Sus scrofa: one gene and its partner. The protein of the gene in region 1 purifies or fractionates together with the protein of each later gene. This does not show direct contact. Links are inferred from orthologs where the notes say so. Each region holds a gene or a part of one and is shown on either strand. Other genes may lie near its edges.

Region 1 (6,513 bases):
GCATGGGGCCGGAGTGGCAAGGACCCCAACCACTTCAGACCTCGTGGCCTGCCTGACAAGTACTGAGCTGCCTCTGCCTCTGCTCAGGAGATGGGCTGTGAGCCTCCTGTGAGCAGGCTTCGTGCTGAGCTAGGTTATAGTATTGTGCATCTGTAGTACTTGATAGTTGGTAAAAAGCATATAAAAATGTGTAATAAATGCTTGTGAATTCCAATTTGTCCTTGGCGTTTTGAAATAGTATATGACATTCTTCTTGGGAACCTGAGCCTATTTAATACCATGGGGATGATCACCGTTTTTAAAAAGGAGATAAAAGCACTAATTAACACTAGTAACAATTTGGGGTAAAACTGTACACACTCATCCATTAGTATCTGCTGGGGATTCGTTCCTGGACCCTATGCGGATACCAAAATCCACAAACACTAAGTGCCTCATATACATGGATTTAGTTGGCTCTCTACATCTCCACATCGGAACGCACCATACAGCTGACTGGAAGGCTGCAACACAGCCATACTATGTAGAACATACATGGTCCATTATATGGACCAACTATCAGTCCGTAACTCCATTTATAAATCATGGAACAGATAATAAGAATACCATGAACAATTGTAGCAATGAAGCTTAAAATTTGATAAAAATCAACAAATTCTTAGAAAGATACAACTTACAAAAACATACTCAAAAAGCAATAAATGAAAACTTGGATTGTTCTATAATTACTGTAAAAGATTAACTCTTCCCCCAAAGAAAACAGCAGTCCCAGATGATTCTGCTTACAAATTTAACCCTTCAAAAAAGCAAAATTTTTTTTTGTAGAAACAATTCTGCAAAGTAAAAGAGAAAATACTCCTCCATCCTTTCTAGGAAGATAGGAATATTTGACACTATGAAAATCAAAGGAAAATATAAGCAGCAAAACTTTACATAATATTACCAATAACAAGTTGTGAAAGAAACTTTCAGCTAACAATAATAATTTCAAAAAATTTAAACAACTATGCTAAAGACAAATTACCTATTTTTTGTTATAGAAAATCATCTTACAAGGTCCTTGTCATAGAAAAAGATGGTTAAAGCAATCTCAGCAAAAATTATATTTAAAAAAGATTGTAAATAGGCAGAGCACAGTGGATTTTTACATCAGTGAAACTAACTATTCTCTGTGATACTATACGGTGGATATATGCCACTATGAATTTGCTAGATCATAGAATGTACAACACTGAGCGAACCCTAATGTAAACTACGGACTCTGGTGAAAATGATGCACCAATGTAGGTTCATGCATTGTATCAACTGTTGCCTTTTTTTTTTTGTCTTTTTAGGGACACACCCACAGCATTTGTAGGTTCCCAGGCTAGGGGTTGAATCAGAGCTACAGCTGCCGCCCTACACCACAGCCACAACAACGTGGGATTTGAGCCGCGTCTGCAACCTACACCACAGATCACAGCAACATCAGATCCTTAACCCACTGAGTGAGGTCAGGGATCGAATCCATGTCCTCATGGATCCTAGTCCGGTTCATTAATGCTGAGCCCTGAAAGGAACTCCTCATTGTATCAAATGTTGTTTATTATATCTGATGGGGAATACTGGTAACGGTGGAGGCTAAGCATGAGTGGTGACAAGGGTTCTATGGAAAAATCTCTGTACCTTCTGCTTATGATTGCTGTGAACCTAAAACTGCTCCAAAAATAAAGTCCATTAAAAAAAGAAAAAGGATTGTGGAAGTCTGCCAGGCCACTTATTAATAAAAACAGTTGGATATTTTTCTGAATTTCATTTTAAGGTATTTTTTGGCTACTTAAAATTGGTAATTTGCTGTGATTTCTTTTTTCTCATTCTAAATAAATATTTCCTATTGTAACTAATTTAATATTTGTACGTTTGTACTGTTCTCCCTAAAAGGGGCTTGTGAAATTGCATAATTCAGGCCCCACAAAACTCGGGTCTGCCCCTGCACATAAGATGAAAAAACGTTTATAATTATTTGAGCCAAGGATCCAATTGTATTTTATGTACTAACAGAGTGTTTTTTCTCCAGTTTTAATATACTTTAGAACTTCTACAAGTGCTATTGCTGTGTAACTGGAACTTAAATTCAGTAGAAATTTTACCATCATCTGTTCATGATTTTGAGAAGCAGGGTCCTGATGGAACCACAACTCTGTCATTCGGCATTTACAAATGTTGGGCTCACAGTGCTTTAATGTATATGGAACAAAATTGGAGATTTTTATTGTGCCTTCTAGCACAGTTGTGCCTGAACATTTAAAACATTAACATACATATTATTTAAATTAATTTTATTTTTGGTTTTTGTAAGGAAACCGTATTGAAATTATTGAAATTACGTGTTGAGGTAGGTTAATGATCTGTAAATTTCATTTCGTTAAAGTTAAGTGGTATCATTAAATATTTGCTGTGGGGTGCAGGGGAGCACTGGGTTTGAGGTTGAGTACCAACCGACGAAATAGAAGCAGGAACTGAATGTACAGGGAGTTGTCATACTGACGTTCTTACTGCTGACTTTCGTCTTTCCCAGGGTTCCGATCACACCTGGGGGAAGAATGAAACGGATGAGAGTGGTAATATTGCCCAGAGATCAGAGAGCGGATAGCTTTGCATCTGTACCGGTCATTGTCCTGTTTCCTGCCTTCCACTCTCGTCCCTTCCAATCAAGCTAAGAGCTCCTGGAGACATGGAGTAGCTGGTTCAGTTAGGGTGACAAACAACAATTATGAAAATAACTGCACTGAGGTCCTGGATAGAGCGTTGAGGACCATCAAGTCTTTCCCAGCCTGATGGGCATATTGGGCGGACCCTTAGCCTGATGGGCGTACTGGGCCGCACTTAGGGTGCCGGGCAACAGGGGGCGCTGTGACAGGAGCCGCGCCGGGCCCTCTGGCACCTCGAGGCCTCTCGCCTCCTCCCGCGGCTTCCGGAGCGGCTCCCGCGCGCCAGAGGCGTCATGGACAGAAACCCTTCGCCGCCGCCGCTCAGTGGGGACGAGGACAAAGAGGAGGCGGCCGGGGGTGACTGCATTGGCAGCACCGTGTACAGTAAGCACTGGCTCTTCGGCGTCCTCAGCAGGCTCATCCAGGTGCGGAAACTCGCGCCTCTCATGGGCTCATCGTACGTTCCCCTAGACTCTCGCCCCGCCTCTGGCGGCCCCCTCCAGCCTTGGGAGCCGCGGTCCCCACGGCGACCCCTTCCCAGGCCCCAGAGGCTGGGTCTCACCCCTTGCGTCCTGGCGGTCTCCGCGGACCCCAAAGCTGCCGGGATCCACTCCCTGTTACGCCCAACACAAAAGGAATTGTAATTGCAGGGATGCTGAATGCTTGCAGTTAAAATATTTTACTTTTGCAAATTTTCCAAAAAACATGACCATGTAAACACATTGCTAGGTTTTTGCTCGCCATTCCACTGTAATTCTGGAATCCCAGGTCCTAACTGAGAAATCTCTTGGACTTAAAGTTGTAGAATAAATGCCGATTTTGAAGTCGTACAACCCAGATACCAAAAGCGAGGCTTGCCCTGTGTGACTTTGAGCAAGTCGCCTAGCCGATTTCTTTCTCGGTTTCTATAAAGTGGGATGATAACATATATGTTATTTTATATAGGGTTAATGTGTAGATGAACTAATATTATAGTGGTCATAGAGTGCTTACCATAGTGTTTGCCTTACAGGAGCCTCTCAGTAAATGTGAACGTTCTTATGTTTCCCTTACTTTTTCCCCTACTTCCAATCACTGTCCTCTCTAGCGCATCTTCTACACAGCTGCCAGAATTAAAAAAAAAAAAAAAAAAAGTTGTCCTTGGGAACTCATCATACTTTCCTTTGCCTTCAGGAGAAAAATGCAGCTTTCTTTGCTTGGGCTCTTTGCAACATTTTCAGATTCACCTGCCCATGACACACTAAACTGTTCAACATTCCCCACACATGCTAGGCCCTTTCTTGATTCTGAACTCTTGTATTTTCTTCTTACGCTCTTCTCTCTTCTTCACATGAAAACTCCACTTCCTCCTCAGAGATTTAGCCTCATTATCACCTCCTAAGAGAAGCTGGGAAGACTTCTTCCAGACTTAGGTCATTGGTCCATCATTTTTATTCTTACAGTTCTTTGTCCGTAATTCATTTGAATCTCTTTGCCTTTTCTGTTGTATCAGTTTGTGTGTCTTTTCCCCACTAGATCCTAAACTATTTGAAAGCAGGGGATTAAATCTTATTCATCTTTGCATTTCTACCCCAGTGCCTAACAACAGTATTTACCCAAGGTACCCAGGGTATTATTATTATTATTTTTGCTTTTTAGGGCCACACCTGCGGCATATGGATGTTCTCAGGCTAGGGGGCAAATCGGAGCTGTAGCTGCTGGCCTACACCACAGCCACAGCAATGCAGGATCCGAGCCGTGTCTGTGACCTACACCACAGCTCACTGCAACGTCAGATCCTTAACCACTGAGCGAGGCCAGGGATTGAACCTGTGTCCTCGTGGATGCTAGTCAAATTCGTTAACCACCTCGCCATGATGGGAACTCCCTAATTTTTTTTAAAATAAGCTTTTTACAAGAGAAGATATTTTGAAGATGCTGTCTTTGTGACTTCTAAATGATTTGGGGATATCATTACTTGAAAAGTACTGTGGACAGCCTTTATTCATCTCCATTTGTGTTTCTGAAGATTGTTAGCCCTGAAAACACCAAATCCAGCTCAGATGATGAGGAGCAGCAGATGGAGCTTGATGAAGAAATGGAGAATGAAATTTGCAGAGTATGGGATATGTCAATGGATGAGGTACGGTTTGGAAATGAAACTGAAAAGACTGTTGGGTAAAGAGGTAGTGAATGGATTTTTTTTTTAAAGGTTCAGTCCCAAAGTCTCTGGGAAAAAAACTTTAATACCTGTAGTTATTCCTATATATGGTACAGGAAATGAGGTCCCAGGAGCTATAAATGCTAAACCTTTGTCTTTGAAGGTAGAGAATCTGAGTGACCTTACATTTGGGCCGCTTAGATAGTTCTCATGAATGCTGCAATACTTGTAGCCCAGGGAAGGTCTCATACTTACTTGCCTAAAAAGAACACTGCACTTATATTTGAGAGCAGGTTCAGAGTTAGGAGACCACTGATGCACCACAATTAAATTAGAAGAAAGAGACAAGAAAGAATTACATGTATATAATTGCAGTTATATTTTAATGTTTGTATCGTATTCTATAGCTTGAAGGCATTTTCATGTATATTCCATTTGCTCTTCACAGTAAGCCTGTAATATTGGTAGTAACCTTAATTTACAGATAAGAAAAGGGGTGTTCCCCTTGTGACTCAGCTGGTTAAGAACCTGACAGTGTCTGTGAGATGAAGGTTCATCCCTGCCCTTGCTCAGTGGGTTAAGGATCCTACATTGCTGCAAGCTGCTGTGCCGGTTGCCGCTGTGACTTAGATCTGGCGTGGCTGTGGCATAGGCTGGCAGCTACATCTCTGATTCAGCCTCTAGCCTGGGAACGTCCATGTACCACAGGTGCAGCCCTATAAAGAAGGGGAAAAAAGAGAGACAAAGAAATTAATTGATATACTCTCTCATTTTTATAACCTGGGCTTTTGCTGTAGGTTCCCAATTAAAATCCTGTGTCTCTTTCATCTCCCTTCTGTCCACATTGCCACTCAAGTTTTCTTTTTCCTAAAACACAGATTTAATTGTATTCTTCTGTCTTAAAATTCGTCAGTGGCTACTTATTGTCTTCAACTTTTTTTTTCTTTTTATAGCCGCATCTGTGACATATGGAAGTTCTCTGGGCTAGGTTTGAGTTGGAGCTGTAGCTGGGGCCTACACTACAGCCCTGGCAACACTTGATCTGACCAGCATCTGTGAGTTATACTGCAGCTTGTGGCAGCACTGGATCCTTAACCCACTGAGTGAGGTCATTTTTAAGAGCAACTTTATTGAGATATAATTGACACACAAAAAACTGCATATATTTTGAAGTATAATTGAAGTATTAAACTCTGTATTTAAAGTATATGATTAGGGAAAAAAAATTTTTTTTTGGCCACACCTGCAGCATGTGGAAGACCTGGGCCAGGGACCAAACCTGCATTACAGCAGTGACAATGCTGGATCCTTATCCCACTAGGCCACCAGGGAACTCCAAGAAGAATTTTTTGTAGGTGTCTGGCTCTTTCACTCAACATCAGTATCATCCAAGTTCTTGTTTACCTATAGTTTATCTATAAAAAACAATACTTTGTGGAGTTCCCGTCGTGGCGCAGTGGTTAACGAATCCGACTAGGAACATGAGGTTGCGGGTTCGGTCCTTGCCCTTGCTCAGTGGGTTAAGGATCCGGCGTTGCCGTGAGCTGTGGTGTAGGTTTCAGACGCGGCTCGGATCCCGCGTTGCTGTGGCTCTGGCATAGGCCAGTGGCTACAGCTCCGATTCGACCCCTAGCCCGGAAACCTCCATATGCGTGGGAGCGGCCCAAAGAAATAGCAAAAAAA
Region 2 (6,522 bases), on another chromosome or scaffold:
GCTGAATTAACACAAAGGCCCATGTTATATTGTCAGCCAGCATGCCATGCTGGACTCTCACAGACCCCAACTGGAATGTTGGATGCACTTCTAATTGCTGGATTTTTAAAGGGTAGCAAATCAAAAGAATGCATAGGAGAATCTGAGACATGGAATGAAAAGACCTAATCCACTGCTCTACAAAGTGGGGTTCCTGGACCAGCATCATCACCCAAGAGCTTGTTAAAAATTTGTTATTTCTCATGTTAAAAATGCCCACTCCAGACCTACTGTATTTCTGGGGTGGGGTCCAGGGAGTTGTGTTTCAGCAAGCCGTCCAGTGACTCTTAAGAACACTCAAATCTGGTTTTAGACTGCTGAAAATGTTTGGGAATAAAAAAGAGATGGTGCACAACATTGTGAATGTACTAAATGCCACTGAATTGTTTACTTTAAAATGATGAAGGTGATGAATCATATATTTTACCACAATTTTTAAAACACTAAATTCTGAGAAGCACAGAGGCCTAGTGGTTCTAAAAATCTAGCCAATCCTCAGACTCATCTGGGAAACAATTTAAAGCTCAGACCTCTGGGGTTTGGGACTCAATTTTTGTGTCTTTTTTTAATTCACAAGTGGGTCTAACAACCAGTAAAGTTTACAAGCCAGAGAACAAAGAGGAGGCTAATGAGTTTCAGTGATTGGAAGACACTCAGGTAGAGCGTCAGGTAGAACAGGGTGCAGACGTGATCATGTTGCTCTGGCGAGCAGAATGAAAACTGATGGATTGAAATGACCAGGGAGCACAGTTTAATCTGAGAACTCTTCTGTAACCAGAGGGACCAACAACAAAACAGGCCACCTCCTGAGGTAGACAATATTCTACCCACTGGGGCGTGTAAGGAAGCTGGATGTCCACTCGGGATCCTGTGAGAATTCTCACAGCCCTGAAAGATTACACTAAATTCTCCCCTAGCTTTCAGATCCTATGATTCTCAATCCCACTCTTTCAACCTAGAAATGTGGCAAGTCTAAGAGTAAGGCATTAGTCCACCAGGGTGATTCTCAGTTCCTAAAGGCTGAGCAAGGCTGAGCAGATCTCAGCTTCAGACTAGGAAGGAACTTCTAGGTTTGGGCCTAGACTACATACAGATGACTTTTTCTGGGTGTCACACCAGAACTACCCAACTACTCTCTAGAACTTTATATTATCAATAGTGCTTTCCTTTTTTCTTTTTAGGGCCACACCAGTGGCATATGGAAATTTCCAGGCCAGGGATTGAATCAGAGCTACAGCTGCCAACCTACACCACAGCTTGTATGAGGCCAGAGGTTGAACCCACAGCCTCAAGGATGCTAGCTGGGTTCTTAACCCACTGAGCCACAAGGGGAACTCCTCAACAGTATTTTCTACAATGATGAAAATGTTCTATATCTGCACTGTCTAATAAAGTAGCCAAAAGCCACCAGATGGCTACTGAGCACTTGAAATGTGGCTATTGCAACTGAGGAATTGAATCTTTCATTTTTGTTTAACTATAATGTTAATAGCTACATGTGACCAATGGCTACTATATTGAATAGTGAAGCCCTGATGGCCCTGATGAAAAGACCTAATCCACTACTCTACAAAGAAACCCTGGCCAGAACTACTGCAGACAAGAACCTTCCACCTCAAGCTGAACTAGCCCCAACCAACCTCTGGGAGTCAGGCCAGAGGCTTGACCCCCAATAGCCCCATTGACCTCTCAACTGGGCAGTGCCTCTGCCAGTGCAGGGCACAAGGAGCCACTGATGCTGAAGAGTTCTGTTGCATCAGCCTCTGCTTGAATTCTAAAAAGGGCTGATTGGAAACATTCAAGTTTCCCGAGTCCAGTACCTTTGAGACAGCTACCAGGGACCTCTAGAGAAAGAGGGTCCAGTGCCCTGCTTCTCTGCTAAGAGGCAAACCAAATGAGGATGCATTTCCTTTGTTATAACTTTCCTTTTGTTTTCTGCCTTCTTTAGAGTTATAGGTAAACACACAATCACCATGGGAGAAATTTCGAAAGCTGGGGCCCAGGTGACCAAGGGCGGCTCCTCCCCCATCTCTGATTACAGTTAAGTAGTTCAGGGAAGTGGACCCGGACTCCCACTGGGTCTACTGGATCAGGTAGAAGATAGATTAATACGTAATTACCACTGTTCTCACAAGAAAACAATGGTAATTGTTCTGAACACCTCTCCACTTAAGGCCCTGCCTGACAGGGAAGAAAACTGTTCAGCCCTCTTTTCTCTGCGGAGAGCACAGCCTCCCGGGAACAGAAAGCATCCAGTGCTCACCCTTGATCTCACCTTCATCCTCCTGTCCTGCAGCTTCTCTGAAATGCAGAGGCAAAGCTATTAGGAAGCATGATTAAATAAGTAAGTCTCAAAGGTGAAGTTTGTCCCTGGAAGCACAACAGACCTGAAACTGTAACTCAGGCACAAGCTGAGCTCATTTATTCATGACAGTGGAGCAAGACTTATTCACCAACATCAAAAAATTTCCCTTAGCCACTAGTTCCACCTGTTTGCCACTTGGGTGTTTATACCTTGGCTGCTAAGAAGGATGATGGTGACAAGCATAGGATCTGGAGACAGCCTGCCTCAGTTCTTTTCTGGCCCTGCTAGTATTTGCTACGTGAAGTTGAACAAGGCTTTAGTGTCCTTAAGTCTCAGTTTCTTCATCTGTAAAACAGAGATAATATTTGTACCTCTTCATAAGGTTGTTAGGGTTAAATGTGATAGTACATAAAACACACTGAGTAAAGGGCCTGACATATAATATTCAGTCAATGTAAAGCTGTTACTTTGCTGTTGTTATCATTATATTCACTCTGGAATAACCCCCACATGTATTTGATAAAAATTCCAGCTATCCAAAAGAAGCCCAGGCCATAATCCTGTCTGAGTTCACCGCTCTTTAAACTAGCAAAGCATCATAAGTAAAATAAAGAGCTACAAGTCAATTTTTTCTCACTTATCTTTAGGTCACGAAGGTCGAATTGGCATGGCCTCAATCAAGATGAAGGAAAACCATGAATTTGATGGAAAGAAACTCTTTAAGCATGTGGCCGATTACCTGCCCAATTATGCAAGGCCCCGGTTTCTAAGAATACAGGTGAGACCTCTTGTTATCAAGTTCAGCTATCCTCCTTTTTGGAGACCCCTGCCTCTTAGGAAACAATTCCCCTTCTACCATGGCGACCACATTAGCCAAATTTTCACTACCCTTTTCAGGAAGCTCAATAAGGAGCTTTGGCTCAGCGGTAACGAACCCGACTAGGATCCATGAGGATGCGGGTTTGATCCCCGGCCTCATTCAGTGGGTTATAAAGATTCAGCGTTGTGGTGAGCTGTGGGGTAGGTTGCAGACACGGCTCAGATCTCACGTTGCTGTGGCTATGGTGTAGGCTAACAGCTGCAGCTCCGATTTTACCCCTAGTCTAAGAACTTCCATATGGCATGGGTGCAACCCTAAAAAGAAAAAATAATAATAGTAAATAAGGAAGAAAGAAATATTAGAAAATACAGCTAGATGAAACCAAATCCTAATCCCTTTCTCCCTAAAATGACAGGCAGTTCATTCAGCAACAGTGTTAGCTAATAACTCGCAAAGTCTGTTTGTTGAGGTGTAACAGACACATCAATCAGAAATGCTCCAACCTTCTTATTTGTTGTTTCCAGTTTTAAAGAATGGAAAAATCCACTGAAGTCCTCTGCCTTTCTCTGGAGTGAAATTTAACTGGGCATCATTAGCCAGTAGTAATTACCAAAGGCTAAACTATTAGCAATAGGATTTTTTTATTTCTCAAACATTAACCCTTTAGTTAAATACTCTCACTTTTGGACCTTAGCTGAAGATTTGAGAAGTGTTAGATTAGCAGATATTGCTAAGGTTATATGGTTATACCTGCTGCTGTTCTTAAAGCACTGGCATTTGCTTCACAATGAGATGGTTGAAAGACATGAAAATTGAAATATCCTCAAATCATCTCCTATTTATTGAAGGAGAAACCAGTCTTCAGTCTAACAAACAGGCTGAAAAGACTGAGTTGTCTGTGTGTAGATGATCCTTAGTCCCACCCCATCGTTAATCAGGATATTCCAGTGATATCTGAAGCTCACCAAGCAACAGACTTCTCTACTCTGTATTCCACTGTCAGCTTCACTTCTCCCCAGGTGACCCTAAAGCTTTAAGAGAAGGAAAACTACTTCCACAAAGGGCCCCCTAGTGGAGGTTCTTTTTTTTTTTTTTTGGTCTTTTTTGTCTTTTGAGCCGGCAGAACCCACACACATGGAGGTTCCCAGGCTAGGAGTCCAATTGGAGCTGTTGCCGCTGGCCTACGCCAGAGGCACAGAAACACCAGATCCAAGCTGTGTCTGCAAACTACACCACAGCTCACAGCAACGCCGGACCCTTAACCCACTGAGCAGGGTCAGGGATCAAACCCTCAACCTCATGGTTCCTAGTCAGATTCATTTCCGCTGCCCCAAGATGGAACTCCTAGTGGAGGTTCTGAAGATAGGCTGTATTGGTATCACACAGAACTCACTTCCACAGCTCTCAAATGACCATTTGGTGTTTTTCAGGACACCATTGAGATCACTGGAACTTTTAAACACCGAAAAGTGACCCTCGTGGAAGAGGGCTTTAACCCTGCGGTTATCAAAGATGCCTTGTATTTCTTGGATGATAAAGCAGAAACGTATGTGCCTATGACTGAGGATATTTACAATGCCATAAATGATAAAGCTCTGAAACTCTGAATGTTACCAGGAGGATAACTTAGTGTATTTCCAGAAAGAACATGAAGGGACCTACCCAGTACAGCCACTTGATATAATCCAACTTTAATTTGATTGACAGTTGTGAGGTGCAATTTTTTTATGCACACCAGGAAGGGGAGACTTTTTTAAATTACACCTGAACCTTTGCAAGTGAAAAGATTTAGAGATAATTATTTTTCAAATTGGCATCTACACTTTGTATTTGCAGACTAAGCTTGTTAGAGGAAGGATGTTATTTTTTTAAATATGTAATAAAATAGATGAACACCAAGAAATGAGATGACACTGTCTTTTTCCTGACTTGATTCTAAATGCAAATCCTGAGGCCGACAGCCTCACTGGTAATTTTCACAGGTGTCCTGCTTACAGTGATAATGGTATGCTAAGAAAAAAATGGCAAGGAGTTGAGAGGTGAGAGGGTAGGAAGTCCAGCTCTAGTGTAAGGCCAACCCTCCCCCTCTAAGAGCATCCTGACCATTGTCTGCAGACCAGACAGCATTAGCCAGCAAGTGATTATGCTGCTGATAGTCTCTGAAGGAGCCTAAATCTAGAGCGTCAGAGTTTTATACATAAAAGGTGTTCAGTAAATATTTTTTAGCTGTATCAAGGGTTGCACATCCAAGCGTCTTCAGGACTCATATTAGTGATGTGGATGAGAAAAGCAGGTCAAAAATGACTATGGAAAACTTGGGGGACAGCCACTATGCAACTTCAGTCAGCTTATTTCCGTGAGGCTATATAGCCCACGTGCTTCAGAAATCCTCTGATTATTCAGAAAACAGAAATCCAGGTATTTATGTGACTCTCCCAATTTTTCATCTGTAAAGTCTCGAATTTTTGTAATGTCCATGCAACCCAAACAAAATGTACCTGTGCACCAGCAAAGGCCCAGATGTCCCACTAGCAGCCCCAGTTCCAAGTGCTTCTCAGGCCAGAGCTGGTTTCATTCCACATCCGGTCTCCAGCCAGAGAGCCTATTCAGGGACTGCAGGGCCTTTGGCATGGCAGGGGATGGTTTGGGGACTTTGAGGATCTCTCTCAGACAGACTTTCTGAGGGGAACTCCTTAAGCTCTTCATGGGTCAGTCATACAGAGTTCCAGGAGCAAGTCCTTGGTGGTGGCCCTCAAGATGACATGTTCCTCACTATCACTTGTTGTAGATCACAGGAGCATCAAGGGCACTAAGGTCACATCTAGAAAGTGTGAGTTAAGTTCACCCCAGCCTCCTTAAAGGAGGTGACATTTCCTTCCCAAGAACACCCTCAGAGACCAGGAGCTTCAAAGGAGCTCTAATTCTCCTCAATTTTGTCCCCCAAAAGCCCCAGGCAAATGTATTCAGGGGTCTTCAATGATATATGATGACGGGTGGCCATCCCCACCCCCAACATAGTGTTAGAAATATTTTTAAACTCTCTCCGCTCTTTGAAGTGACTCCTAAGAAGACTCGTGACCAGAATCCCTGCCCTTGCTCATTAGACCCAATAATAAACATTTCTTGAACACTTACTATGCATGAGGGACATGAGAAGCAGCTAAGGATAACTCTGTCACTACACCTTTGAGAATTTTCCAATAATTTAGCATAATTTCTGCTTGTGAGTCAGCATGGGGAATTTTTGCAAAATTCTAGGTTTCTCTGGCTTTGATTTATTGCTCTCCCTTTGAGAATGTGAACCCATGTGATGGGAGGTGGGACAGCCTTGGCTTTTGAGAGTATAACATTGTGCAAT

Evidence for each region. The genes of interacting proteins can lie anywhere in the genome.
Region 2: the proteins of SAAL1 (region 1) and SLC27A2 purify together in Homo sapiens (co-immunoprecipitation; 3 studies listed by BioGRID and IntAct, with this or other methods). This does not show direct contact. The link is inferred for Sus scrofa from reciprocal best matches to the Homo sapiens genes SAAL1 and SLC27A2.

What each region holds. Positions count from the first base shown.
Region 1 is NC_010444.4:41,025,737-41,032,249, forward strand, and holds the start of SAAL1 (protein SAAL1), read left to right. Parts: upstream 1-2,936; 5' UTR 2,937-2,983; coding exon 2,984-3,115; intron 3,116-4,698; coding exon 4,699-4,812; intron 4,813-6,513. Other genes in the region: SAA3 (serum amyloid A-3 protein precursor), read left to right, coding at 1-66. UniProt on the Homo sapiens protein: Plays a role in promoting the proliferation of synovial fibroblasts in response to pro-inflammatory stimuli.
Region 2 is NC_010443.5:121,528,992-121,535,513, reverse strand, and holds the end of SLC27A2 (very long-chain acyl-CoA synthetase), read left to right. Parts: intron 1-2,991; coding exon 2,992-3,122; intron 3,123-4,594; coding exon 4,595-4,771; 3' UTR 4,772-5,065; downstream 5,066-6,522. UniProt on the Homo sapiens protein: Mediates the import of long-chain fatty acids (LCFA) into the cell by facilitating their transport across cell membranes, playing an important role in hepatic fatty acid uptake.